5 linked regions of the Rattus norvegicus genome follow. The protein of the gene in region 4 purifies or fractionates together with the protein of the main gene of each other region. This does not show direct contact. Links are inferred from orthologs where the notes say so. Each region holds a gene or a part of one and is shown on either strand. Other genes may lie near its edges. The genes, in order: Ppp2r1b, Ppme1, Ecsit, Ppp2r2d and Ier5.

Region 1 (5,427 bases), on a different chromosome or scaffold from region 4:
AACCACAGTATCAGTAAAAAGTCATGATTTTGTAATTTAAAAATCAATTAACAAATTGGCAGGTGAGAAGGCTCAGCAGGAACAGGGGCTTGCCTCACAAACTGGCAATCTGGATTCAATCCCCAGAACTCGTATAAAGGAGGATTGAGAGAACAGACTCCACAGAGATAGCCTCTGAGCTCTGTATGTATACACGAGTGCACACTCACTCACACAATAATAAAGTTTAAACTTTTAATTAGGGGTTGGGGATTTGGCTCAGTGGTAGAGCGCTTGCTAGCAAGCACAAGGCCCTAAGTTCGGTCCCCAGCTCCAAAAAAAGAATAGAAAAAAAAAACTTTTAATTAATAATTAAGCATAAAGTCTATGCGATGGTAAAAAGCCCAGGCCCTGGAGTTCAGTTCTATGTACTCAAGTCTTAGGTCTGCCCCTGCGCGGGGAGACCTCAGATGTCTATCCCTGTGCTTCACTTCCTCTGCATGAGGAGTCAGCCTCAAGCCCGCTGGGTGTGAATGGCATATCCAAAGCACTCCGATCATGCCTGACACTAACTTTCACATCATTTGTTCATCTGTATGTATGTACTGTCTGTGTAAAGTGTACATGTGTGCCCAAATGTGTGGGTGCCCATGAAGGCCAGCGAGGGAGTTGGATCCTCTGGAACTGGAGTTGCACTTATGGGCCATTCAATATGGACACCAGAATTGGAGCTCTGGTCCTCTACAAGTAGCAGGCCTCTTAACTGCTGAGCCACACCTCAGGCCACTAAATGTTAATATCTGAAGCTACATTTTAAACATAAGTAAAAAGATACTGTTTAAGCAAAGATATATGAACTTTAACTATAAGGAACCAGTGATATAACATAAAACATTTAGCAGGTAGTTCAGGCTAGTTTAAGACTGACGTATTTCATGACTTACATGAACATGTTTATGCTCTGTGGACCTGGCACCTGCAATGGCCAGAAGAGGCTCAGACCCCACGGAACCAGATTCACTGACAGTTGTTAGCTCATGCTGGGAAGCAAACCAACGTCCTCTGGAAGAGCTCATGCAGCTCACCATGCAGCTCCCTCTCCAGCCGCTCTTGGTTGGTTGCTTGGTTGGTTTGGTTTTAGAGGCAGCATTTCTCTAAGTAACCCTGGCTCTCCTAGAACTTGGTCTATGACCAGGCTGGCCTTGAACTTAAGAGATCCACCTGCCTCTGTCTCCAGAGTGCTGGGATTAAAGGCATTTTCCACCACACACAATTGGGTTTGTTTTTAATTACTCCTTGTGCCCAGTTTTGGGGAAACCTGTAACCCTATACCCAAAGAGAAGGATTGTCAAACATCTAAACTATGATTCCCCCGCCCCATCTTCACACTTTGGGTCCTATCTTAGCAAAATCACCAAACCAAAGCTTTCCAGTCCCTTTAATCCCAGCACTTGGGAGGCAGAGAGGCGGGCAGGTCTCTAAGCTCAAGGCCAGCCTGGTCTACAGAGTGGCGAGTTCCAGGACAGCCAGAGCTACCCAAAGAAACCCTGTCTCAAAAAACCCAAAAGAAAAAAAGAAAAGGAGAAGAAACAAGATCCTATCAAATCAATTACACCAAAGCAAAGGGATTCATAGCCAGACTCACCTCATCCTTTAATTGAGCTAAAAATAGAGGCAGAAGATGTTCAATGGTATTCTCTTTGCCCAAAACTGTAGATAATCCCATAATTACAGAAGCTAGGGCTGACTTGACATGTTGGTTGGTATCAGACACTAATTCCTAAAACAGAATAAAAATTAAAGACAACGAAAGCCTGCACACCACCTCCCAAGCAGTCCACAGCAGCACTGGTCAGCAGAGCGGCCGACCCAGCCGTCTGGAGTAACAGACTATGCGTCCACAAGCTTTACAAGTATAACATGCACAAATCAACTATAAATATTTTCACACATTATGCATTTGATTCATTTATGCCTCTTTCTTCTTTAAATGCTAAGAGCTTCATAGGTAGGGTAAACAAAATAAAATGAAGTCACATTCACCTTTATATAGGGCAGGATTTGGTTCATAATCACGGTCTCTCTGCCTTCAGTGGGCAGGTTCTCACAAAGCTCTGAAACAGGAAACACAGTGCTGTCAAGGAGCCAAGGACAATTAACCACATCTTCCAAGTTAAATCATAAGTCCAAGCAAACAACCTCTGTGGGGCAATACGCCTACTTCTCACAGCAGAGCTGAAAGTCCTCTGATCTCAACTATGGGACCTTCCTCAGCTCTCGAGGACAGTGCCACATTCCGCATGCTGGTATCATCTGTCTGCAGCGTCTTATGAATTAAAACTAGGCCAGACTTCCTACCATGACAACTGCATCAGAGTGGGAAATGTTGCTGCACAGACTCATTTTTCTCTGGTTTATACATTTTGGGTCCTACTTTAGCAAAACGCCATCCAAACTACAGTGAGTGGACAACGCCAAAGTCACAGGACTCCACAGCCAGTCTCACCTCTTACTTTGTGGGCAGCGGCTGCTCGGACTTCGGCCTCGCAGTCTCTGAGGAGGCTCTGGAAGGCGGGGATGAGGTCACTGAGTGCAATTTTAGGGCCCACCGCTTTCTGGAGCTAGGAAACAATTTATACAGGTGTAATGTATACTAACAAAATAGTAAAAACAAAATTTAGTACAATCATCATAGAGTAATGAAAATGGAAAAACTAAGCAGGCTCTCTTATTTTTTTAATTCACAACCATTCAACAGAATTTGTAAGCTGTGTCCGATAGAAAATCTGTGGGGCAAATGCCTTTGAGGTTTTTAATCCTTGAAATGCCAACACATTTTACCTCTGAAAATTTGTCAGCCACCATGTAGCGAACCCGCCAAGATTTATCTTCTGCTGCTTGCCGAAGTGTAGGCATTACCAAGGCTTCCAGGTCATCCTGAGACAGTAGCTGGGCAATACTGACACACGCTTCTACAGCTAGCAGGCGCACAGAATCCTAAAGAGAAAAACAGTCTGTTTGGTCAATTTGCTGAAATGCTGCACGGAGTGCAGTATGAGATTTCTGCCACAGGTACTACTTCAGAAAGCAGGGGAGAGAAAAACCACTGTGCTGCTGAGTTGTCAATGGGACAATAAGCTAGAGTTATCCATGAGGAGGGAGCCTCAACTGGCAAGATGCCAGAGAAGATCAAGCTGTACACAAGCCTGTAGGGCATCTTCCGAATCAATGATTTATGGGAGTGGGGCAAGTCCACTGTGGGCGGTGCTATCCCTGGACAGATGGTCCTGGGTTCTATCAGAGAGTAGGATAAGTAGGTCATGAGGGGAGCAAGCCCATGGGGAGGGGAGCAAGCACCCCTCCATGGCCTCTGCACCAGTTCCTCCTAGGTTCCTGCCCTGTTTGAGTTCCTGTTCTAGCTTCCTTCAATGATGAACTTCTTCATTGTGGAAGTGTAAGCCAAATAAACCCTTTCCTCCCCAACTTGCTTTTTGGTCATGGCAGCAATGGCAACCCTAGTTAAGATATGATGCTGTGGCTTGAAGTCTTCAAATGGCTGCATAACTTCTTCCTTTGCCTAGTCTGGCATGTGAAAACCACAAATGGTAATCTGGTTAAATTATCTTGACTGCAGCACCAAGATTTTATTAACATAAAGAAGATGCTCTAAATGTTATTTACTGTATGTTAATAATGTGTGTGGGAGTCAGAAGACAACACCCGTAAGTCAGATTTCCCCTTCCACCTTTCCATGGGTTCTGAGTGTTGATCAGGCAAACATTTTACCCACATCTGATATAAAGAGTAATTTTTTTAAACTATGCTATATTCAAAGCATTATAAGGAGTTGAAAAATTATCCTTGCCTAAGTACTTAATAACACATTTGAAGAATTTAAAGGACAAAGGAGATCACCATGACAGCTCTTTCCAGCTGATCACAGCAGCATGAGATGGGACAAGGGACAAGGTGACAGCCAAGTGACACAGTCAGGCTCCAGTGTGCACAGAAAGGCGGAAGCTAACTTGTGTCTCTGTGTACAGAGCTGCTAGGCGCCAAGCGGGACCCTTGGATGTCTTCTGAGTAAGTAGAACACTAAATTAAAGCTCAGTCAGACATTAGAAGTCATGACTGCAGACTTAGGAAAATCAGATAAAGTAAAACTTTAGACATATAATCCTCTGAGCACCAAAGGAAAAATGGGACAAGAAACTGCTGTCTATGTGATACAATAGAGCACACACACACAACAAAGCACCCTCATCATTTGCCTGGCTCCTATCAATGCCACCTACCTGGCCTTCTCTTTCTATTCTTATCCGTCCTACAATTTTGTTTCCACTCATAAGACAGAATGACCTTTCAAAAATGTAAATTACACACCACACCTCTTCTCCACATCTACGTACAGCCTCACTGAGTCTACAGTAGAAAATCAAAACTGCAAAGTCTTCCCTGGGCTATGATCTGCTCCCACCTTCCTTCTCCACTCCTGTCTTCCCTGGACTCTTTCAACCACCATGTTCCAATGTTAGTTGTCTCCTGCCTGCCTGTCACTTCTTCAGAGTTCTGCTGACTAGCAGCCAGTGTTCTACTGTGTTACATTGATTTTTATAACATTTATGCCTGATTTTTATCATGTTTGTTTTCCTCCATTATAATGTAAGTTCCATGAGAGTAAGGACCCTGTCTGCCTTTAACACAGCAGTTAACATAAGAACCATGCCTTACATAGATATATATATATATGTAGGTACTTAATGTTTCTGTCCACGGGTAAGCCAGGAGCAGGTCTTCTATACACAGTCAGAGGGAGCACAGTGTATTTCCATTTCTCCAAAATAAAATACATGGAGTATTTTCTGAGCACCAAATGCTCACAGCCAGCTCCCACCTAGGACATGGGTAAGTTTCATGCCCATTGGTTCCCATACTCTGGCTGCTTTTGGACCATGGGAGTGGAGTTTCATAGGAACTATAGGCCCCTCAAAGCATTTCCTGGCTGGCCTTCATCAAAAAAATAAATAAAAAAATTTTTAAAATCTGCAAACAGGAAGTATAGGAGACAAAAGAAAATGCCAAATTACATCATGGGAAATATTACCAGCTAAATTCCAAATAAAGATTCTACGCCTGCCTACTCCTATCCCAGCACAAAGAAACCACACCGGCCCCCGTGCTGTGGCTAAAGCCTATGTACACTCAACTAGCTACATATAGCCTTAACCAAGCTTCATAAACTAGCTGGACTTCCACTTCCTTGAGTGTCTGTGTTCTGGAGATTGTGTACACCATTTTACATATGGGACCTGAAATCTAAGATAAGCACTCTTACATGATCCTAGAACCATCCCCACACTCTGTACTGACAAACAACTGTATTAAAGAATTTAGGAATTCCCAATTTTTCTCATTTCTACACCAAGGAAACCCAGACCCTTGGATTTA
Region 2 (5,427 bases), about 39 Mb from region 4:
GACAAAGTCAAGACCACAGGCACTGACTGGGAAGGAGCTTGGGGAGCTGGCAGATTGCAGATAAACCCCATGGCAGGCTTATCCTACTTTCTGTGGAACCCACATTCCTCCCAGTTGTCCTCTCAAGTCACCAGGCCCCAGACTTACCTTGTCAGGGGCATCCTCATGGACTGCATGGCCACACTGGGGTAAGACCTGCATCTGGAACTTCCCTGGAGAGGAAACAAGCAGGCAACCTCAGGGACAAAAAGCCCTCCCTCCTCATCTCTGTTCCTCACAGGTCACTGGGCAGCCCAGGAGGACCATCTCCAGGACAGTCTGACGAGTGTAACTAGACCCTGTTCCTCTCCTTTCATGGTTCACTTTTGCCTCTTGGTGTAAATTCACTTTGGGCAGAAAACTCAGCCCCTGTGCTCACAGGATTCAGTCCAGTGGGAGAGTAAAACACAACACTATCGTCGATGTGGTCCCAAGTGTGAAAATGGTCACATCGACTGTAAAAATGTAGTAAAGGTCTTGATGAGCCAGCAGGCATCCAGGCAGGCTTCTGCACAAACACAGAATAGCCCACTCCAGGGAGAGATGGCTTAAAATGGCAGTTACCCATGGAAATGATGGCCTAGCACCATGCTGATGTGAGTGGCAGCAATGGAGCTGTACTGGAAAAGCAGGGGCCACATGCGGAACTCTGCAAGTTATGTTAAGAATACTGAAGTGGATGATTACAAAAGACAGCAGATGACTATTTAACAATGGGCCAGGCTCTGTAAGATGTACTTCCTCACACTGTCTTACAGAACACTGCAAGCTTACAACTTACAGTAATTTGGGGGGCGAGGCTATTTGGGATTAAAACTAGGGCCCAAGCATGGTACTCAAAACTACCAGTGAGCTACAATCCGAACCCTAATAGGACAGAATTAAGAGTGAACAGCTGGGCAATGTAGCTCTGCTGGTGTGTGTTGGTCCAAGGGTCTGGTGTCAGAGTGAGCAGAGCTGAGCTGAGTTGCTGCAGGAGCAGCAGGGGTGTGCCTGGCAGCCAAGCACTGCAGTTAAATGCTAACGACTGGTGAGGAAGTGTGAGGGGCCATCTTACTCTCTGAACCCAGTTTTCCCATTTAAATGCAAGAGAGCTGGAACAGTCTTTGGGGCACCAATGCAGGCACAGCAGTGGTTCTCTCCTGCAACAGTAGCTCATGTCTTCAGTGTACTATTCTATCCACTGTTAAAACCAACTCTACAATCACATGGGTAAGGAACCTAGTTCTGATTAGGGCAATGCCCTGCCCAAGGCTGTGAGATTAGTGAAGGGACTGAGTCCATACCATTTATTAAGCCTATTAATGGCCCTCCTCCTGCATATGGCTGCCTCTCCTTCAGATCTGTCATATTATTAACTCATATGATTCTAACACAGAGCAAAGAATGGGTCCTGCAGCATCCACAGCTGCATGGCCCTCCTCTCTGCACTTGTGTGTGACACTCATGCCCACCACACCTCGTCACCCCTCTGAGGCTGCATCAATGTTCATGTTTTACACGTGAACAATGTTCCAGCTGACTGATTACTGGGAAGCAGCATCTAAAACTCACCACCACTCTGAGGCTCTCTTCTCCCTCCTCACCATGATGTCTTCTAACAGACTTTATTCCCTTTGGTACCTATGTTTTTTCTTTCTTAAACTCTCAACATTTAAAAAAAAACGCTGAGAAAACTCTTTCTGTTCCCATCCCAGTGTTAGGCACTTCTATAGACTTAATAGTTTCCAGATGGACCACTTCATCTTAACCTTTCCATCGTGGTTACAGATAATATAATAGCTCCCATCTCTAGTTAGGGGAAGACAGTCAGTCACTTCAAAAAAGGGAAGATAACCTTGGGAGGCAGAGGCGGTCTGAGGTCAGCGGGGTCTACAAAGGGAGTTCTAGGTTAGCCAAGGCAACAGAGAGAAAACCTGTCCAGGGTGGGGTGGGGACAAAACAGAACAACAGCACCAGCCCTCAAACAAAACAAAAGGGAAGGGAAGATACCCGACCACACCCCCTCCCGGGCTGGAGAGGAGGCCGTCCAATAGAGCTGGCTCACTGCTCATGCTCTCTCCACTGTGCGTCACCATCTACAATCGATTTTCCTAAGATTGCCCACATTTCCTTGCCCTCAGAAGAGGATCCATGGGCACAATTCCTGGATGACTTACCCTGCATCTGGCCTATGGTCAGATCTTTATCCAATCTATCAACACCTAGAACAAAACAGGAGAATCTGTGAGTAACTCCCTAGAAAAGGCCTTGTGAAACGGGCTTCTCAGTACGGAGTAAACACGGCCTCAGAACTGTAAAGACCACTGCACTCTCAATCAGACAGATACAATTCTCTGACTCCATATTCCTAACAGATGAAAATTTTCAGGTTGAGATTTCTGGGTAATCATGTTCATTTTTTAAGATTTATTTATTTTATTTCTGCATATTTCACATATGCACTTGGCACATGTAGAGGTCAGAAGGATGTTAGACCTGGAATTACAGACGGTTGTGAGGCACCGTATGAGAAGTGGGAACTGGATTCAGGTTCTAGAGAGTAATGAATGTTCCTAACCACTGAGCTGTCTGTGCAGCCCTGCTCATGCTCACTCACAGATGTTTAGACAAAAACAACATTTTCTGTCTAGATTCAGCGTTCAGAGTGCTCTAGGAGTTAGGTTCCACCAGGTCCTCAGGGCAGGTCAACAGCATGCAGACTGGAGGGTGTTTACTCCCATTAGGTTTAGGGCTGCATAGGGGTTGGTTAGAAGGGGGTTTCTCCACTTTAGAAGTCACTGCCCATTTGGTTAATAGTAACAGTTGTGATGAGGTCACATCTAGATGACAGTATACTCACACTTCTATGGACTGGCTGTCTCCCACAATTCATGGGGAAGCCATAACCCCCAGTATATTTGGAGATGGGGTCTACAAAAGGTAAAATGAGGTTGTAGGGTGGGGGTCTCTGACACAATAAGATTATTGTCCTTGTAAAAGACCTCAGAAAACTGTCTTGCTTCCTCTTAGCCATGTGGAAGCACAGAAGGTCTGTGAATCAGGAAGAGCTCTGAGAACTTAATCCAACCCATACTCTTATCTTACACTTTCAGCCCCAGACTGTGAGAAAAATAAGGTTCACTTCTTTAAGCCACCCAATCTATTTGAGTATTTCAAATGTATTTCAAATGTTTGATTTCATCCAAGGAAAAACAAACACACGCACGCGGGCACGCGGGCACACACACACACACACACACACACACACTCACAATCACACACATACTCTCACATACACACTCACAATCACACACACACTCACAATCACACACACACTCCCAGTCACACACACACACTCACAATCTCTCACACACACACACGATCACACACACACTCTCACAATCACACACACATTCACACACACTCACAATCACACACACTCACAATCACACACACACTCACAATCACACACACACTCTCACAATCATAAACACACTCACACACACTCATAATCACACACACACTCTCACATACACACTCACACACACACTCTCACAATCACACACACTCACACACACTCACAATCACACACACACTCACAATCACACACACTCACAATCACACACACACACACACACACACACACACACACACACACACACACACACACACACAGCACTTACCTGCCAAGAGCAGCAGTTTAGGAATAGGACAGCTAAGAAAGAGATTGGATAAGCCTCGGAACCAGCCGTCCCAGTACTTCTCTGTTTTTGCCAGCTCAATTCTCCAGGTGTATGGATGATCCTTCTTGGTCTGTAGGGATGAAAGCAAGGTGAATCTGAGGTTGAGCCCGGGGAGCAGGACCAAGACCAGGTCTGTGGGAAGGAAGGTGAGCCAGCACTGTTACGAGTTCACTACAGCCCAGATAGGTGAGTGTCCATTTAACCCTGTAGCAGCACTGCACGCTGCTGTAACTTCTGGATGATCTGGACCTTTCTTTTTCATTCCTATTGGCTTTCTTCTGGCTCACGGAAGCCTCCTGCCTCAACCTCCCAAATGGCCAGTGCTACAAACAAGGTTCACCATAACTACTGGTAACTTTAGGTAAATTTAGGAAGCAAATAACTATTGAGCCAAGGTACAACTTTCCTTTCAGTGAGTATAAAGATTAGCAAAAGATTCACACAAAGAACATAGTGAAATAAAACAAAAGAACCCCTGCCACCACCCCTCCCCTCCCCCCCACCAACCTAAGTGAAAGAAAAAGCAGAGACTGTCCTTCAAGTTAGGATGACTACCAGAGAAACGTGGTAGACGTCTGGGAGAGAACAAGCTCATTTGTGAGTACAGTGCTGTTTTCTCATTTTCAGGTTGATGATGATGACCAGGGACAGTCGTTCTAATAAGGTGACGTGACAAATACATCTGACAACTGGGTGGTGAATGGCACACAGTATGCTATCAAATATTAGGTGAACTAGCTGGGCTGTGATAGAGCATGCCTTTAATCCCAGCACTTGTGAGGCAGATGCAGGCAGATCAGAGTTCAAGGCTAGCTTGGTCTACAAAGCAAGTTCCAGGACAGCCAGGGCTACACAGAGTAACCCAGTCTTGAGAAAATAAAGCCAACCAAACAAAAAACCTTTAGGTGACCTACTGAGTCCCCTACTTGCCTGCATCATAGAACTAGGTCAGATACAACTGAAGCAATGGCAGGACGAAGCACCAACTGCAACAGGAGATCTAGATGTGGACAAGATGACACTGTCTGCTCAAGATCAGTGGGTGACTAAGATGTCCACAGCACCCAAAGTGAGCCAGTCAGTGGAATCAAGTCTAAGTGGTATTTTTGGATGATATTTCAATGATCTTAAAGTTGTCTAAGACTACATACAATTCTGAATAGCCAACCAACTTTGCAAAAGTGTTAGAAATCTGGAGAACTCATTCTTGACTTCAAAACAGTACAATCTGTAGTAATTGAGAGTTTGGGACTTAGAGATATACAGTTCAGAGGCACAGGTTGAGCGTGCTGAGGCCTTCTGAACCACAAAACCAACAAAGTTTATAGTGTCATTAAAGACAGACAAAGGAAACGGAGGTCCCAGAAATGGACACTGAGATACACAGTCAAATGACCTCTGTTAAGAGTATTAAAAGTATTGGTGGGGGATACAAGGCCTCTTTTACAGTGCTGAGATAACAAATGCAGCCATGCAGAGAATGCAGGCACAGCTAGGCAGTAAGAGTGGAAAGATGCCCAACAGCAGCAGGCAACATGGAAACAGGAGATGGCTGCACTCAGAGACAGACAGCACTATGGGAACTATATGGAGAAACCAGAAGCCTCATTCTCTTAGCTCTCCATAGTGGGAAAAATTCTATAGAAAAATCTATATATTCATC
Region 3 (6,144 bases), on a different chromosome or scaffold from region 4:
TACCAGCTAAGTTCTGCTGACCCAACTTTCATTCTTAACTTCATCTGGACCGCTCCCTGCTGGCCGTGACACTTGCAGGGACCACAATAGCCAGCCTGTTCTACACAGTGAGATGTCATTTCAGACAAATGAAAAGAGTAACTGTTGGATTTTCTCAAATACTTTTCTGTATTGCCTGAAATAATGATGTGATTTTAGGGTTTTGTTCTATTAATATATACATAAATTTTCAGATGTTAAACTAACCTTGCAGGGCTGGAGAGATGGCTTAGTGGTTAAGAGCACTGACTGCTCTTCCAGAGGTCCTGAGTTCAATTCCCAGCAACCACATGGTGGCTTACGACCATCTGTAAAGAGATCCGATGCCCTCTTCTGGTGTATCTGAAGACAGCTACAGTGTACTTATATATAATAAATGAATAAATCTTTTAAAAAAAAAATGGGTTGAGGATTTAGCTCAGTGGTAGAGCGCTTGCCTAGCAAGCACAAGGTCCTGGGTTTGGTCCTCAGCTTTGGAAAAAGAAAAAAAAGACAAAAACAAATAATCTAACCTTGTATTTTGAAGATAAATTCTCTTAGGCAAGATGTAGAATTCTTTTTGCATGCTCGCAAGCCCACTGCAAGCGAATTTTACAGTTGTGTTCATGAGGCACTAGTCTGTAGTTTCCTTAGTATACCTGTTTGCTTTTGTATCAGGGTAGCTAGGCCACAGAGAACATGTTAGGAAGAGGTTGGATCATTCTTGCCACCACTAAGACTTTCTGGAGGTGGGTGTTGTGCATACGCCTGTAAATCCCAGTGCTGAGGTGGAAGGTGGGATCAGCCTTGGATACACAGCAAGTATGAAGCCAGCCTGGGCTACAGGAAAACTTGTCTCAAAATCAGGAAAAGAAAACCAAGAAAACCAAACCAAACAACAACAAAACTCCTTTTGGGGTGACAAGATGGCTTTGCAGACAAAGGCAGTTGCTGCTAGTCTGACAACCAGAATTCCATCCCCGAAATCCAGAGTGGAAGGAAAGAACTGACCCCACAAGTTGTCCTGACTTCCGCTCCTCCAGTGGATGAACACACACACACACACACACACACACACACACACACACACACACTCTCTCTCTCTCTCTCTCTCTCTCTCTCTCTCTCTCTCTCTCTCTCTCTCTAAGTAAAAACAAACAAACAACCTTCTCTAGTTGAGCCAGACACAGTAATGCACACCTTTAATCCTAGCATTCAGGAGTAAAGGCAGCCAGACTCCTGTGAGCTCCAAGCCAGCTCAGGCTACATATGAGAACCTATTTAAGGAGAAAAAAAATCCAACTCTTTTTCCAGTATCTCCCATCTTGGCCCCAAATCTCCCTCCACTCCCTGCTTTCTTTATCCTTAGAGCTTCCCCTAAGCCATGATTACACACTGGTTCCTCCTCCTCAGCAGCCTGACGGCTGCCCTAGTCCTGTCAGTAATGCCCGCCCAATGCACCGCTGTGCTCAACACTTTGAAGGCAATGACTTTGAGGTGTCAACTTCCAAGTATCAGACAGTGACGTCCCCTCCCTTATAGTCCTTGCTAACATCCTTGGGTTTCTCCCTGGCACCCGTGCCTACTTCTCAGCCAATCATGAGATGCCTTTCAATGTCAGCATTATCTGCAACACTGCCAAGGGTGCAGACAAATGCCCTGGGAGCACAAAACCTGTAGATTCAGGCTTAGTGGAAACATGACCATACTTCTGACAACTTTTATCAACAGCTGCTGGCCTAGGAAATGTAACTAGACTGGACTCAGGCTGGGACTCTATAGACCTGGCCTAGACTCCTCCAGGGAGCTGCTGGGCCCAGTGAGCCTCTGCTAGATTCCCCTAGTGAGTGGCTGGAACTGAGACTCAGTGTTATCTAGAATCCCCCACGGAAAGGCTGATGGTGTGGCTCAAGGTAGGTACTTGCTTGGTATAGTTGGATAAAAAGACTCTAAAACCTTGCAAATTGTGTTCCAGGACCTGTAGAATGTTGGCTGTAACTCAGGTCTACTGCATGAGAATCTGCATTGTAACACCCATAGGTGGCTCCTCATGCATTAGAGTTGTTAGTGTTTATGCTCATGGTTCCCTAATGTTTTTGCCTCCATACCTAAGTATAACTTTGGTACAAACCAGCCATGCCAAACTCCATCCAGGGAACACTGACAACACCTTTGCTGACTGTGCTTCTCTGGAGGCCAGCCAGTAGCACCACCCTTCCTGGTTATTCAGGCCCCAATGTAAGAATTGCTCAGCAGTCACTATGTCCCTATTCAGTCAATAGATAGTCCTGGAGACTACTTCCAAACCTATCCCCTTGCAGGCCACCATACCATTCCACAGTGATTTCCTGCATACCTTTCTGCCTTCTCTCTGCCCTGCTAGTTACTTCCCTCCATTGCAAAAGGAAGCTCTTAACAACAGAAACCAGTTGTGCTGGAAAGATGGATCCATTGGTAAACTGTTTGCCCTGAAAGAATGAGGACCTGAGCTCCAGCACCCATTACAAAGCCAGGTGAGGTGCCATGCACTTGCAATCTGAGGAATCTGAGAAAGCAGAAGCAGGCAGGCCCCTGAGCTCCCTGCAACAGAGCCCTGAACTCCCTGTAACAGAGCCCTGAGCTCCCTGCAGCAGGCCCCAAAGCACAAGGTGGACAGCTCCTGAAGAACAACATCTTAGGTTGACATTTTTCCTCCATACATGTGCTTACATGTGTACATGCACTAACATACATCCCTGTACCCACACAGGAACACACAAGAATGCTGGGTGTGATAGCACATACCTGTAATCCCAGCATTTGGGAGACACAGGCTGGCGGATCTGAGTTTGAGGTGAAACCAATCTATACAGACAGCAAGTTCCAGACCAACCAGGGCTACATAGTGGGACCCTGTCTTTAAAAAGAAAATGTGCTTGAGATAGGTGTTGTGTGTGTAAAGCCAGCACTGGGGAGTGTGAGGCAGGAGGATGGCCTCCAGAATCAAAACAGCTGGAGATCGTTAGTGAGCTCCATGGCAGTCTGAGCTACAGAAAGGTCCTGTCTAAACTTTAAACAAGAGCAGGGAGAGAGAATTCAGCTGGGAAAGGAACTTGCTGTCAAAACAAAGCAAACCTAATGACCTGAGCTCAAACCCTGGAACCAACCTAAGGTGTATGGATAAAACCTCAGAGCTGCCCTCTGACCTGCACCATGCACCATGGCACATGTGTCCCACCCCCCACACCATAACCAAAATAAAACTTCAAAGTAAATACACATCGGATGGCTTCTACCTGCTGTACTCCCCCTTTCTCTTGTAGCACCAGCTACACTGTTTCTGAAACAAGACAAGTTTATTGGTTTCCCAGGCTTTGAACTTGTTTTACCCTCTGCCTACTGTTTACTGTTTTGGTGTATGCCTATAATCCAGAACTCGGGGGCTGAAGCAGGAGGACGATCATGATGGGTTCGAGGCCAGCTTGGGACACATAAAGACTCTTGAATCAGGGAAAAACACACTGCTTGCAACAATCACTGTTTTGAAATCACGAGATTACCTGTTCTGTGTGTGTGTGATTTGCTCAATAATTGGCTCTCCTAGATAGTACTTTTTTAAAAAATCTGTTTTTCTCATTGTTGTGTCTCCACCAACTGGGTCAGTGCTTGGCACACTGTAAATGCCCAACACCGATCAACTGAGTGTGAATAAGCAGAAAGTTTCTACAAGACATGGATAAATCGGAACAGCGAGGTAGCGTGTATGTATGCGTGTGGGCTGGCACGATTTTGAGTCTCTGAGGCTGGAAGGTTCCAATGCCTGCCTCACAGACAATGTACGTTGCCCGAGTCCGCTATCCCATCTGTGAAACGAACGCCTGCAGCAAGAGGTGCCCAGCAACCTTTCCTTGCTCATTCCCAAGCCTGCACCTGAAAAGGTCACAGTGCCCTGACTGAGGTCGAGTTGAAGGTCATATTCCCCGGCTCTACCAGGCTTGGAAGTGGACGCCCCAATCCCAGACGGTCCCATAGCCCTCCCACGCGCGACCCACCTACTCACGCGGCCACCCGCACACCCGAGCAGGCTAGCTGGGACCGCTGGGCGCCGTCATGTTGAGCCACACAGCTTCCGGTTACGAGTCGAAGGTGACAGCAAATCAGAAAAACCTGTGACGATAGGTCCCGCCCTCAAGTGGAGATCCACCAATAGGAAGGCGGAAGACACTGGTTTCTCCTCAGGAGCAGGCCCTGCTGCTCACCGAACTCTAGAAGCCTTGGGTACCGGTGCGGAGGCGCTGGATCGGGTTCCCCTACGTCTGTCCGGTCCAGTTTTCTCCGCCGTGATGGTAAATTATTGTTACGGACTGGAAGCACCACATCCGGTTCGGAGCCCATGGCCTCTTGCGTGCTAAGCAAGCACTCTACCGCTGTCTGCTAAGCCACAGCCTAAGTCCCGGGATTTATTCTTATTCTTTTTACTAAACGGGTTTTTTTAGTTTGGTTGGTCCAGTTGTTTGAGTCAGGGTCTTGCAGTGGTACTCAGCCTGGCCTCAAAACCCTGGATTCAAGAGATCCTCAGGGATCAGCCCCCTGAATAGCTGGAACTTCAGGTGGGCAACACTGCCAACAGCTTTAACAGAATGTCAAGTTATGTTTATTTTCATTGTGTGTTATGTGTGTAAGTAAATCTGTGTGAGCACGTTCGTGTGGAAGTCAGGACAACTTAGGGGGAATGTTCTTTCCATGTGGGTACTGGGGATGAAACCTGGGTCATCAGGCTTGGCTATGAGCACTTTTACCGCCCCTAAGTAACAATTTTTGAAGTTTGAATTCATCTATGTGAAATGGCCATATAAGTACAACAAGGGCTACTGTGAGAAAGGACATGCATTCCTGACACCCCTCTCTCCCTCCCCAACTGGGAGTCTAGATTGACTCTTCAGACCACCCACACTGAGAGCTTAGAGGCCTATGGAGTGTATGTGTAGATGATTGGATGGCCCTGGATTTGTTGTATGTGTGTATAGATAATAGCGATTACATATAGATATATTATTCATATGCATACACAGACGCATACACATATACATATATTGATTGAATATAGGCTTTTTTTTAACATTGTTTTATTTTGCGGGTGGTGCATGTGGCGATAATTTGCTATAATCTATCCTGGGAGTCCCAGGGATTGAACTCAGCCATCAGACTTGACAGCACTTTACCAAGCTAACCTGCCAACCTCATAAGTAATCATTTTTAAGACAAGGTCTTGTGCAGCCTGGACTAGCTTTGAACTTCTGTGTAGCTGAATTTGACTTATCTGATCTTCCTGTCTCTTTTGTCCTGGGATTACAGGCCTATGCCACCACACATTGTCTCTGTAGTGCTGGGGTACAGTCCAGAGCCTCTGACATTGTAGGCAGTTACTCTACCAACTGAGGTATAGCCCCAGTCCTTTTGTTTTGCTTAGACAGGGTCCTGCTGTGTTGCTTGGCCTGGCTAGCCAGGAACTCTTTATGCAGACCAGTTTAGCCTTTGTTTACAGCTCCAGTTGGCAGTGTAAACCTGGGAGAGTGGAGCCTCATTTTGAGGCTGACTAAAGTCTCCTTCAATAGCCACCATTAATTCAGAGCTTCAGGCAAGTTATACTCTGAGGGTTAAGAGGCATCGCATGGGTGAGGTGTTCAATTATAAGGCCATGCGTAGTAAAAACATGTCTTCCCTAGAGGCACATGAATAACAAGGGCTGTAATAAATGCACTGCCATTCACTACACCTGGGCAGAAGCACAAGAACAATTCTGTGTCTTGAAGAAATGGAGGTCACAGGAGTCATATCTTCTTTCCTTACGAGCACTCAGAACCCTCACAAAAACTCCATTCTTGGACTATGTTCTAGCAGGCCTTGAACTCGAAGAGATCTGCAGATATAAGACATGCTACTGCAGAGAGGGCTGCTCTAGACCCGACCACACATAAGCATCCCATGCCACTGTGCTTGGCCACTAGATTAACTGTCTCTAGGATGTTAGCTACTTTTAGGATTTTAGGATACCTATTATTATGTAGCCCAGGTTAGCCTCAAACTGTATCTGTAGCTAAGAAAAGAAAAGAGAAGGAAAGGAAAGTGAGCAAACCCAGCACATGC
Region 4 (5,881 bases):
AGCCAAATATACTGCCTGTCACTGATTATTAGGGCAGCTACTTACAGTTCTGTCCACTCAGTCTGTCATTCTTCATAGAGAGCATTCCAGTGCACACGGGCACACGTCTGTGACAATGGGAACCGTTTTAACTATTGCAGTCTTCTTACATATCTTAAACATGCAGCTACAATTAGGCAGAAAGGAATACTTAGCAACCCAGGCATTACTTGAGATACCCCTGTCTACGTGGAGTCTGAATAAACTTAAGTTAGATCCCAGTTCTGCAAGAAGTCTCAGAATGCTTCTTCCCAGGCTTGGAATTCCTTCCTCAGGCTTCTCCCGGTATGTCCTCTCAGAGCTGTATACATATGCTTCTAACTCTCTTGATGATCTGGAGTGTCACTTGAGTGACACTCCTATACCCTCACTACCTCACTACTCATTACTCTCACACACCCAGACGCCTGCGGCTCATTTTACCCTCCTACTTAACTCGGGAGACAGTTCTTTCAGAAACAACCCTGGGTGCTGCGGCTGATGGAGGGTGCTATTCCATCATGACTTTCCCAAACTCTGCCACAGCCAGTCCTCTCATCAGAGTTCACCCCCTGAAGACATCGTCCTGCTTTGTCCCTGACCACCATGCCTCCACTACCATGACTAGCCTTCTTTGGTCACTCTGTTCTCCCCTCGGCTTCTGGCTGTGCTTTAAACATGTTAGCGAGCTAGGTGTGCTCAACAAGGTGGAAGCAGAAGTATTTCAATTTAGAGACCAGCTTCAGGTTACATGGCAAGACCCTAATCAAAGTGTGTGTGTGTGTGTGTGTGTGTGTGTGTGTGTGTGTGTGCGCGCGCGCGCGCAACTGAATTAAAACTAAAAACATAGACAAGGTCAGGGTGGACCTTCGTGTGCACTGGCTGTCCCCACTTCTAGCAGCTGCCCAAGATTTCGGAAGGAGACTCTTATCTCCTCCAATTGCTCTCCTTAAGATAGCAACTGCTCCAATCTCCTTTCCCCTGCTTCTGTGCTGTATTTAATTCTACGCCACTTGACTTTCCCCAGGTTTTTCTTATTGTCTCTTCTCCACTGCAGATTAAGCTCCACCAAGACAGACGCATCACCTCTACACAAGCAGCATCCCAGCCAAGACTGAGAACAGAAAAGACACTTGCTAAAAGGCAGAACAGCATTTGTGGAGAATGCTCTGGTTTGGAACAACTGCCCTCTAGTGGTGCAATAAGCTCACTACCAACTTCATAGTGACTTCGGATACGTCAAGCCCACGAACGAATAATTCCTGTTCATGCTAGAAAAACACACCCACAAATAAAGCAAATGTCGACGGTTCCCTGGAGCTATACTGAGAGCTCAAAGAAGTGCCCTGAAGTAGCACTCTGGTGAGATCGGTGCTCAGAAGCTACGGTCAAAGATACTGGGGGCAAGCAAGCCTGAGTGATGGGCAAAATTACGCACGCAGGTGCTGGGTTCCAGGTGCTCCGGGATTCAGAGACCCCGCCAGCCCACGGCCGAGCGCTCTCTATTGGCAGATCCACGGAGGTTCCGCGTTCCCGTTGGCTCAGCTGTAGGAAGGGTCCAGGCCTTCGAGCATCCAATCCAGCCGGCCGCAGAAGAAAGTCTGAGGCCTTAAGAACGCAGAGGGCGTCGCGTCCTAGCCCTTACACCACTCGAGAAGGCCATCTATATCTGCTGGCCGACTATTCCAAGACACTCTTTCCATAGACCGCAGCGGCTACGCAGGCCCAACCTCAAAACAGCTCGCGCAGACGCAGTCGGTGCACGGTGCGCCCCCGGCAGCCCCCGCGGCACTGACCGTCGGAGGAGGCGGAGGGGGATGACGTCATCCGGCGGGGCGACGGGCTTTGGGCGCCATTTTGAAAAGGGAAAAAAATTCCCTCCCCGGCGGCGGCGGCGGTGGCGGCAGCGGCAGCGGCGGTGGCGGCCGGGGCTGAGCGCTCGGAGCGCCTCGGTCGGCCGCGCTCAGCTGGGCGCGTCCCGCCCGCGCCATGGCAGGTGAGGACCGTGCGCGAGCGGGCGGGCGGGCGGGCGGACGGTGGTGGGGCGGGGCGGGGCCGGCCTGACGGCGCGCTCTGTTGCAGGAGCCGGAGGTGGCGGCTGCCCGACGGGCGGCAACGACTTCCAGTGGTGCTTCTCGCAGGTGAAGGGCGCTGTCGACGAGGACGTGGCGGAAGGTGAGGCCCGACCGATCCCCGAGTCCCGGGTGCAAGGTCACGCTCAGCCGCCGGTCCGGACGCGGTCGCCTTTGCCCGCCTGACCGGCGTTGTCTTGTGAGACCCTCGGCCGGCCAAGCATAAGAGAGGGAGGGGCGTCGGTAGGGAGACCGCTGTGGACGCAGGCATGGGGAGAGACTGTGGCTGAGTCCCGCTTCGGGGGTCTGTCGGGGAGACGGCGGTGGACGCTAGCCTTGGGAGGCTGTGGGGAGATGGCTATGGACTCCGGCCTCGGGGGTCGGTAGGCAGATGGCCATAGAGGGCCAGTCTCGGGAGGCTGTGGGGAGACGACCATGGACGCTGGCCTCGAGGTCTGTGAAACGGTAAGGCTGGGGCAAAGGTATCAAGCCTTGTAAGGAAGCTAGGCCTGTGGTCACAGGTCTTTGGAGTCTAGGGTGCACAGCCGTCGTAAATGCAAGTCTCTCTAGAGTCTATACGGAATAAGACGGGACTGTAGACACTAGTCTCTGGCAGTGGCCCCGGGATTCGGCTAGGAGTTGGTACCACAGGGTGAGGTGAGGCTCATTTGTTGTGGGGGGGGGGGGGTGATGGCAGTTGACCTATGGGGTAAATCAGGTCCCGGACACATTTCTGTGGGGGCCCATGGGCTGTCTTCTCCCTGGCACCTGTGTAAGGGGGAAGGATATTCATGCAGGGTTATCAGTCAGTCTCCGGGAGCCCATGCTCTCTGTGCTACTTGACTCAGGATGGGATGGAGCACTGAATTTCTCAGGGTGCCCTGTTTGTAGACCTTGGTGTGCCAGTCTGTCCAGTCCAATCTCTGGCCAGGTAGACATCGGTCAGCTCTGATCTCCACCTCTTGGTGTTGAGCAAGAGGAACTTACTTTGTCATGGGATCTCCTGAAGCTCTGCAGTAGTGGCATTTCCCTGAGTGTTTTCTCTTCCTCCACAGCTCTTTAAAGCCACTTCTCCAGCCTTCCTTCTTAGTTTTTTGTTTTGTTTTAGATTTATTGGTTGGTTGTGAAAGGGTCTTGGTATTGTAGCCCAGGCCTTAAACTCTGTCCCATCCAGCTAAGTGCTGGAATTTCAAAGTGTTTGTGAGTGTAGGCTTATACACGCCCCTGCATGTGTAAAGATTAGAGGACAACGTGTCAGAGGAGTTGATTCTTTTCACCATGTGAGTCCCAGGGATGGAACTTGGGTTATCAGGCTTGACAGCAAATGACTCTTCCTGCTAAACCCCCTTAAATTTTATTTGTTTTTGGGTTTTGAGACAGAGTCTCATGTAGCTCAGATAGGCCTCAAACTCCCTATGTAGCTGAGGCTGGCCTTGAACTGTTTGTGAGACAGGGTTTTTCTGTAGAACAGCCCAGGTTTTGTTCACGAGGCTGGCCTCAGGGATTAAAGACGTGGACTGCTATGCCCAACTTTGGCCTTGAATTCTTGACCCTGCTGTTTCCGCTTCCCAAATTCTGAAATTATTGGAAAGCGCTGCAAAGCCCAGCTTTCCTTACGACTATTCCTGAGCCTCCAGACTCAGTCTGTTGCTTTGTTTTTCCCCTAATCATAGTTTAAATGTGCCAGGTACACAGGGAGCTAGGAGAGTCTAAAGGCTGTGGAGTTTATTCTTAGAGATTTAACATTAGCCTTTTATATTAGAGTCATTGCAGCTTGTTCAGTGTCTAATACATGGGCCTTTCACTCTTTTAAAAGAAAGTCTATTTACTCAACCCACCTTTCTTGTCACTAGCAGCCTCTCCTCTGATGTCCTGTCCTGCTTCTTGTTCCCTCCTTCACCCTGTCTCTTCTGGAAGTGTCTGGCTTGACTCATGACCCTTGAGAACATTCAGAGGTCTGTGGCCCCAGGGGACAAGACCAGACCATGTCATCTTGACCTGTGAAACTGCTCTCCAAAAGTTGCAGAGGTGCATGGTTTGGGGTTGAAGTCAGGTGACTTTTATGTGGAGTAGTTTATTGATTTTTTTTCTTCTGTATTGGCATAAAATGTATTACTGTGTTTCATTTTTCATGTGCCAGGTAGGTGACAGGTCAGCCTCACTCCTGTTGACTCATCCTATTTGTGATAATAGTGGTAGGAAGGTTAATCTGCCTTAATTTTGGGTTTCTGTGTGGTTTGGTTTGGTTTAGGTTTTATTGACCAGTTAAATGAATTTTTTAAAACCTACTTTTATTTATTTTATTTACATGAGTACACTGTTACTCTCCTCAGAAGAGGGCATTGGATCCCATTACAGATGGTTGTGAGCTATCATGTGGTTGCTGGGAATTGAACTCAAGACCTCTGGAAGAGCAGTTAGTGGCTCTTAACTGCTAAGCCATCTCTCCAGCCCCTCAGTTAAATGAATTTAAAACGACTTTATACTTTGTTAAATACCATTCTTTCCCTTAAAAATCATAACAGAAATATTTTGTTGCTTGTGTTAAACTGATTAGAACTTTTTGTGGGTGTTTTGTTTTTGTTTTGGGGGGTTTTCTTTTTAATTTTTGTTTTGTTTTGCTTTTTGTTTCGAGACAGGGTCTCCCTGTGTAGCCCCAGCTCTGTAGACCAGGCTGGCCTTGAACTCAGAGATCCTGCCTACCTCTGCCTCTCTGAGTACTGGAGTTAAAGGCATGCTCCACCACTGCCCAGTCCTTTTATGATTTTTAAACATGTGTTTTAAGTAAAACTTTGAGTACATCTAAAATTTTTAGTTTGCAAGTCTTTTGTATGTGTAATATTATATGATTGCCTGTATTTTTTTCAGTTGTATGTATTTACAGCTTTCTGTTTTAACTCACGCACTTCTTAATCCATCATTTATTTTCTGTCATTTTGTCATCAGACAGCTGAGATATTGTTTGACTTTTCAGTAATGGTTTAAAAAGGCAAAGGTAGTCACTGGACTAGGACTTGTACCAACAAAAATCACAACCCCAGTCTTATCCAAACTCACACTTGAAGAGGAAATGTTGGTGAGAGATAATTAGGAGGTGGCATTTCAAGGGGTTTAATTCATGTGCTGAGGCTTGGATTTGAGATTTTAAAGTATAGCAAAATTTATGTGTTGAAACTTGTAACTTATGGGGCTTTTTGTTCAGCTCTGCAAAATTCCAGGTAGCCCTGCTCCTATTTTGTCTTTCTGCTGTCCTGGGCATAATGGTCAGATGTGTGCTAGAGATTAATAAGTCTCAGAGAGCCTAGGGGACAGAGGGCAGGGTGTAGATAGGCTGGCCAGGCAGAGCAGGATAGAAAGGGCCTTTATTTCTATTTGAGTTTTGTGTTTTAATGTAATAACCCCTGATACAGTATTGAACTGTGTACTAATTGATGCACTATTTTTATGTATATAAGAATTAGATTTTGCTCTGAGTCAGGTTAACTCTTGCTGAAAGTCAAGGTTTCATTGTGTGGTGAGTCCTATATACCTGCAAATAGGAGCAAACTAGGCTCACAGAGAGATTAGTAATTGTCCTGCTGGTGCCCAGATGTGCAAGTGGCTGACAGTAATGATCGGTTCTCCTTCTCCTGTTGGAGAGTAGAGAAAGAAGCAAGAATCAAAATGGCAAAGCCAGGGGACTTGCAAGTACTGGGCTTAAGAATGTTCACTCACTGCTTTATTTGGGAAGATTTTGTGATGTGGAATAACCTGCAACCAGCCTCTGCTTTCTGACCCTGAGCACGCTTTTC
Region 5 (5,992 bases), on a different chromosome or scaffold from region 4:
TTATAATAGAGCTTAAATAGCTAATTTCTGAAAGAAAACAACTGAATAGTGCCCTGATTAAAGCGTGTTTTATCCTATGTATTATGTACATACTATTGTGGTGATGGAGTAGGAAGGCAACAGCTCTCCTCCTTAAAGAACCAGTCATAATCTTAAAGAGCAAAGCAATGGCCTATTCAACTATGATAATTCATATAGAAGTATACACACACACACACACACACACACACACACACACACACTCTTAAACTAAGGCCAAAGAGCATATTTCCTATGCTCCTTTTGTCTCTTTCCTGTTTCTGCCTCTTAAGCATTCTACTTAGTTAGAAACTAGTGGCATCTTTTGAAGAACTAGCAATTATATTTAAAACTGAGTGTCTAATTGGTTTGCTCCTAAGAGATTACCTCTTAAGTACTGAACGTTTTGCCTCAGACAAAACGGTCTCTTTAAATTGTCTTGGCTGTCATCTGTTTATCGTGACCAAAACCACTTATGTCATCATGTAGGGTGACAAGAGCAAATCAGGAAGTTCTGCTACATGAGAATTAAATTTACCCAACCTTCCTTAGTCTCCTTCTCTGGTTTGATACACATAATTTCACTTTCAACATTTACTTTCTACAACTGAAGACAAATGTCAGCCTTGACATCTAATGGAACACGAGTGATGAACCTGAACATTTAGAGAAGTCAATCTCATCGGTTTCTTCATGACTGGTCCTACTAAGACCTCTAAAGTTGCTTTCTAAACCCCACTCCCACCCCAATTCAAATCTACAAAGTGACCCATGGTCTAATAGATTACCAGATCTGTTTAGGAAACAAAGTTTTGGTGGAAATACTTGATATTGGAAAGGCTGTAAAACTTGGCGTTTAGTATTATTTAATATTAAAGATTCCATCAAGTCAAACTATAGAAAACCATGACTACAGAGAAAGCTGTTTCAGTGGCAGGTTTCAAACTGCCAGTCATTAATTCCAGTATCTATTAGTCCTGTGAATGGGGATGTGCGTGAAAACAAAAAAACCAAACCAAACCCTTAAACGTGTCTCTCTTGATACTTATTCTAGTCAGCCAACAATGTCCCTAGCCTGTGACTGGCTGATACGAAGAACCACACCTTCCATTTCCCAGCCTGGCTGCCCCTCCCCCCACCTGGTTGGAAACCCAGACAAGTGATTACATACATACAAGCAGGTAGTGGAGTTGCTTCAAAATATTTAATACGTGTTAGACACGTAAAGTTACATTTTTATACAAAAATCAATACAGAGGAGGAGAAAATACTGTACAAAAACCTTATCAGCTCCCCCAACCTTTATACAACAAAGACTGGAGTCACCGTATCTACAAAACCATAAGGTCCTTCCACTTAGAGCTCGTCTGTAAACTTTGTTTCATTAAACACTTTTTAAAAGCACTGTGTAGTAAGTTCTGAGCTAGAGCTTTTAAAAATATATCTTTTTCTCTATAAACTCCATATTTCCAAGCTTGAACTCTTCTGTGAAGTTCAGCAAGCTTTTTTTCCCCTGTGGGGAATTGAAGGTCCCTTAATGTTCTGCTTTCCCAGAGTAATCACAGGGTAGAAGCGCTTCTTCTGTGCCAGAGAAAGATGGGGAGGAAGAAAAATAATACAAGTCTCTACTCCAGACGAACTCCCTCTAGTCTGGGGAAATCCTGTGAGAAAACGCCACTCCGCGCCCCGGTGTGGTCCTAGCTTTCAGGAGAGAGGTTGTGTGTAAAGTCCCTCTCTTCCCCAAGATCGATCGGGGAACTCCCCTGTCTCGAACCTTTCAGCAGCTTCCTTTTCTGTGCTGCTGGCAGAGGAAAGTCCCTGTTTGCACCCCCAAAGTCTCGAGAACGGGGAAGGGGTGGTGCATTCCAGAACCACAGAATCGTCTCAACACAAGACAAACTTACACATGGACACACACTGATACAAAAGTTAACGATCGATCGTCCTCTTCCAATAAGCCTCCCACTCTAGGTCTCAGGATGAGACTCGAGAGCCACGGCCCAGCCGGGCTGCCCCTTCCGGGGCGATGTGCTGCCCGGCAGCAACCAGTCTCCCTTACGCGCCCAGCGCCTACGGTCTCGGCTCGTCCTCGCGGCCGGGAAAGGCCCCGGCCGCACTTCGGGGACTCCCGCTGCTCAAGCTCCAGCCGCTCAGGTCCCGGGGGATCAGAAGGCCACGATGGCTGTGCTCCAGGGGCTCATGTCTCTCAGAACCGGCTTGTCGCAGCAGATCTGCCCGGGCTCGGAGGCTTCCGGGCCGCCCTCCTCCGCCTCCTCTTCCTCCCGCCCGGCCGCAGGGCTTTTCCGTAAGAGTCCCGAGAAGCTAGACCCGAAGATGCTGATGAGGTTTGCCACGTTCCCGGTTTCCATCTCCTCGTCGGTGTCCTCCTCGTCGGTGACCGGCTGCTCCTCGGAGTTCCGGCGCGGCTTCTTGAGAGGGGTAGAGCCGGGCGCGGAGCAGCCCGCGCGGCCGCCACCCACTCCCGCTGCGCCACGCTTCCTGGGACACGGGGCGGCTGGCGCCGGGGACCCGTTCTCTGAGGACCGCTCCTCCACGGCCGACGGACAGCCACACGGGCGGCGCAGTGCCCGGGGCCCCTCGGAGCACGCGTCCGAGCTGCCTCCAGAAGGCGCCACGCGCGGACGTTCCACGCGGCCCCAAGCAGCTGCCGCCGAGTCCTCCTCTCCGCCCCGTAGAGCGTCCTCCGCTCCGGACACCGCGGCCACCGGTTCTGGGCTTCCCGCTCCCGGCGTGTGGCACACCGAGGGACGCTGAGGCTGAGGCTGAGGCTGCGGCTCGGGCTCCGGCCAGGCGGCGCGGGCGACCGGTGGGGGCGGCTCTCCCCAGCCAGATGGTGGCCCCGCTACCGGCTCTCCGGGCTGCTGTGGCGGCGGTACCGCCGGGGTCCCCGCAGGGCCGGCCAGGTAGAGGCCAGGGCAGGGGTCACTCAAGTAGACTTGGCGGGCGCTGCGCAGCACTAACGACACCAAGAGGTTCTTGTGCAGCTTGATGCCGCCGCGCTGGACCCGCGAGTTGTAGATCTTGCCCAGGGAGATGCTGACGATACGGTGAGCCTCCAGCTTGAACTCCATCCTGCCTCCTCTTCCAGACGACGGGGTGAACGCCTGCTTGCCTTCTAAAGCTGAGAGAGGCGCGAGAGGCAGGAACAGGTTCGCCTCTGTGGTTGTACCCTCAGCGTGTGAAAGCTCGGTGGAGAAAAGATCTAGTGATGCGTAGTTCCCTCCGCCTTTTCTCCTCAGTCAACAGACCCGTTCTGGGCCAGCCTCTAAACTGAGCGGTGCGGGGCCACACCGCGGTTTATATATGCTCCGCGAACGCCAATCACAAAGCGCCGCCAACCGTTCTGGGCGGGCCGATGCGCCTCGTGCGCCACCCCCGGCCAATCAGAGGCAGAGGAGGAGCCCCGGGGCCGGTTCAAACGTTAGTCCCGCGGAGCAAGCTCTTAAAGGGGGAGATCGCAGGCGACCCTTTGATCAAGTGCGGTGGGATTTGTGTTCTGAGCGGGTGATGTGGTAGAACGAAGCACACAGAACTGTTTGTAGTTAGGAATTCCGCTTTGTGAAGTACATTGGCACACTGTAAGGAACCGAACTATTGGGGCTTTCATCCGTTTAGTGTGTTGGAATCTACTGCACAATAAAGTTCGGTTCCTTTCATGAGCAATTTCCAGCTGCTTACAGCTGGTACAGCTGTAACTTCTGGTCATTCTTGGCAGAAACGGAAGCGATGGCAATATATGACAACTACCACGATATATTTGAGATATTATTTTGGAGTTAGTCCCTTTCCCATTAGCGTTACACTCAGCATTTGACTACAAACAAAAAGGGGAGTTTATAGAAATTTCCAAGCTTCTGCTTTATCAAGGAACAGAATTCAGGCACAAAGTTATTGGTTCTCGTCCAAAGCTGGCATATTTCATTCCATTCCTCAGATTCTCAGTTGTCAGTATAGATTAAATGAAGATGTTACCTACTTTTCCACAATGGTTTTGTCTGTTTAAAAAAATGCACAGTAAGTAATTGATCTATTCTTGGGGAAATCTAGTAAGTTCTAAAAATACAAATAAAGAAGTTCTGGTTCCCCATATTGATTATGTAAATTTGTTTTGTGTCAAGTATGGGCAAAAGTTCCTAAAATTTTCCTGGTTAGTCAATGTAGTCCATCCACTGAGTCTTACAAATTCCTGTCAAAAAGACCACGACAAGATGGTACTGGTGCCTGATGACTCAGTAAATTGCCTCATGGCCCTTTAGTTTCAAATCTAAAAAGGAAAAATCATGTATATACCTTCTTTATTATACAGAAGATAAATGACAGCTCCCAGAGGTAATCTAAATAATAAAATTAACCACAGCTTACACAGAGTCTATTAGTGTGAAAAGTTTACCTCATCCTACAGTAGGGTTTTCCTAACCAATGTATTTATGTAGAAGAAACACTAGTGAGGTAGGCTTGATTAGAGCTGGTTAACAACTAGGATGCGCTCAGATATGATGCTTTGGGGTGCTAGCTTTGGCCATTATCCCTGCTATAACTGAAGCCCAGGGTTCCCCCCTTCCAGGAATTCTCAGTCCACATAGAGAAGGAGAGAAAACATTTATAACATGTAGCAACCACAACGTATGGTCAGTAATAACATGAGGTTCTTCTCCATTTTCTCTCCTTAAAAAAATTTTTTTACAAATATTTATTGAATATTGAAATCCAAGTCTGCATCTAGATCCTGACCACTCACCCTTAAAACAACAGAGGGGTGTGTGTGTGTGTGTGTGTGTGTGTGTGTGTGTGTGTCCCTTCAGGTTTCCTAAGGAATGCAGTCCAGTGAGGTTCTGATGGAACCCACTGTATTACAAATGACCTATACTCATGAGGACACAGTGTATCTGGTAATGCTGTATCTCACAGATATATTTATCAACGCCATGTAGTAAGTGGTACTTGAACTCACGTATGGAGATAGCCCATGTTCCTAACACAGCTTGTTTAAATTTACAGGCTGACTGACAGTACATCTGGGGTAGAGCCTGACAACCTAGTCCTTTCAAAGCTTTGTTTCTTTCATCAGCGCTTCTTTAAAAAAATATTAATTTATTTAGTTTGTGTTTTTTGAGACAGGGTTTTTCTGGCTGTCCTGTCCTGGAACTAGCTCTGTAGACCAAGCTAGACTCGAACTCAGAGACCTGCCTGCCGCTGCCTCCTTATGCTGGGACTAAAGGTGTGTACCACTATGCCCACTGAGCATTCTGACTTTATTAAAAAAAAAACCAAAAAACAAAAACAAAAAAACAAAGTCCATCAGTTCCATTCCTACCCCAATTTTCTGATAAACCCAGAAATAATGGGGTTTTCAGATTGTCCTAATAAGGCTTAGGAACATCTTGAAAGGGCCAAGGCCTCAGGCCTCACCAGACTTCCACTGGGAAAAGTGTGAGAACTTTTAAGTCACTGTAAAACAATGCTTGCAAACTCGGGCCACTGGAGTGGGAATCCCAGCTCCCGCTCCACTTCCTCCTTGTTGAAGAGCACTTTGGAAAGGTGTTTCTCCTCTCTGTGATTCCATCTTTTTTCATTTGATTACAGAGATAATAATAGTGCCTACCTCTTAGAGCATGTGAGAACGGAATGCTCATTACACACTTAACACTCTTAGCATAGCCGCGAGCACGGGTAAACTCTCAGTACACATTACTTATTAGAACATGCTACCCCGCACTTGAATTCGGAGGTACAGAAGGGGTCGGAGAAGGAAGGATCATCGGAAACTTTGAGTGAGGAAAGTGGATTTGAAGAGGTGCGGAAAGCCCTAAGGTAGAGTCCACAGACTCTTAAGCAGCAAAGCAAGGGTGGGGGTGGGCTGGCGGTAGGTAGGAGTGAGAATGGAGAGCATCTCACTTGCCAGGTTGCCAAGGTGACGATAGTAAGGTATAGATGCTTCAATGAGAAGATGGGG

Evidence for each region.
Region 1: the proteins of Ppp2r2d (region 4) and Ppp2r1b purify together in Homo sapiens (affinity purification with mass spectrometry; 4 studies listed by BioGRID and IntAct, counting the BioPlex papers as one, with this or other methods). This does not show direct contact. The link is inferred for Rattus norvegicus from reciprocal best matches to the Homo sapiens genes PPP2R2D and PPP2R1B.
Region 2: the proteins of Ppp2r2d (region 4) and Ppme1 purify together in Homo sapiens (affinity purification with mass spectrometry; 4 studies listed by BioGRID and IntAct, counting the BioPlex papers as one, with this or other methods). This does not show direct contact. The link is inferred for Rattus norvegicus from reciprocal best matches to the Homo sapiens genes PPP2R2D and PPME1.
Region 3: the proteins of Ppp2r2d (region 4) and Ecsit purify together in Homo sapiens (affinity purification with mass spectrometry; 3 studies listed by BioGRID and IntAct, counting the BioPlex papers as one, with this or other methods). This does not show direct contact. The link is inferred for Rattus norvegicus from reciprocal best matches to the Homo sapiens genes PPP2R2D and ECSIT.
Region 5: the proteins of Ppp2r2d (region 4) and Ier5 purify together in Homo sapiens (affinity purification with mass spectrometry; 3 studies listed by BioGRID and IntAct, counting the BioPlex papers as one, with this or other methods). This does not show direct contact. The link is inferred for Rattus norvegicus from reciprocal best matches to the Homo sapiens genes PPP2R2D and IER5.

The regions. Positions count from the first base shown.
Region 1 is NC_086026.1:60,098,042-60,103,468, reverse strand, and holds part of Ppp2r1b (serine/threonine-protein phosphatase 2A 65 kDa regulatory subunit A beta isoform), read right to left. Parts: intron 2,977-5,427; coding exon 2,821-2,976; intron 2,601-2,820; coding exon 2,486-2,600; intron 2,094-2,485; coding exon 2,023-2,093; intron 1,760-2,022; coding exon 1,625-1,759; intron 1-1,624. UniProt on the Homo sapiens protein: The PR65 subunit of protein phosphatase 2A serves as a scaffolding molecule to coordinate the assembly of the catalytic subunit and a variable regulatory B subunit.
Region 2 is NC_086019.1:164,085,058-164,090,484, forward strand, and holds part of Ppme1 (protein phosphatase methylesterase 1), read right to left. Parts: intron 3,835-5,427; coding exon 3,705-3,834; intron 2,244-3,704; coding exon 2,199-2,243; intron 213-2,198; coding exon 148-212; intron 1-147. UniProt on the Homo sapiens protein: Demethylates proteins that have been reversibly carboxymethylated. Demethylates PPP2CB (in vitro) and PPP2CA. Binding to PPP2CA displaces the manganese ion and inactivates the enzyme.
Region 3 is NC_086026.1:28,890,266-28,896,409, forward strand, and holds the start of Ecsit (evolutionarily conserved signaling intermediate in Toll pathway, mitochondrial precursor), read right to left. Parts: upstream 4,102-6,144; 5' UTR 4,050-4,101; intron 354-4,049; exon of another isoform or gene 247-353; intron 1-246.
Region 4 is NC_086019.1:203,093,681-203,099,561, forward strand, and holds the start of Ppp2r2d (serine/threonine-protein phosphatase 2A 55 kDa regulatory subunit B delta isoform), read left to right. Parts: upstream 1-1,901; 5' UTR 1,902-2,007; coding exon 2,008-2,014; intron 2,015-2,100; coding exon 2,101-2,193; intron 2,194-5,881. UniProt on the Homo sapiens protein: Substrate-recognition subunit of protein phosphatase 2A (PP2A) that plays a key role in cell cycle by controlling mitosis entry and exit. Involved in chromosome clustering during late mitosis by mediating dephosphorylation of MKI67.
Region 5 is NC_086031.1:69,819,247-69,825,238, forward strand, and holds Ier5 (immediate early response gene 5 protein), read right to left. Parts: upstream 3,297-5,992; 5' UTR 3,111-3,296; coding exon 2,184-3,110; 3' UTR 1,204-2,183; downstream 1-1,203. UniProt on the Homo sapiens protein: Plays a role as a transcription factor. Mediates positive transcriptional regulation of several chaperone genes during the heat shock response in a HSF1-dependent manner. Mediates negative transcriptional regulation of CDC25B expression.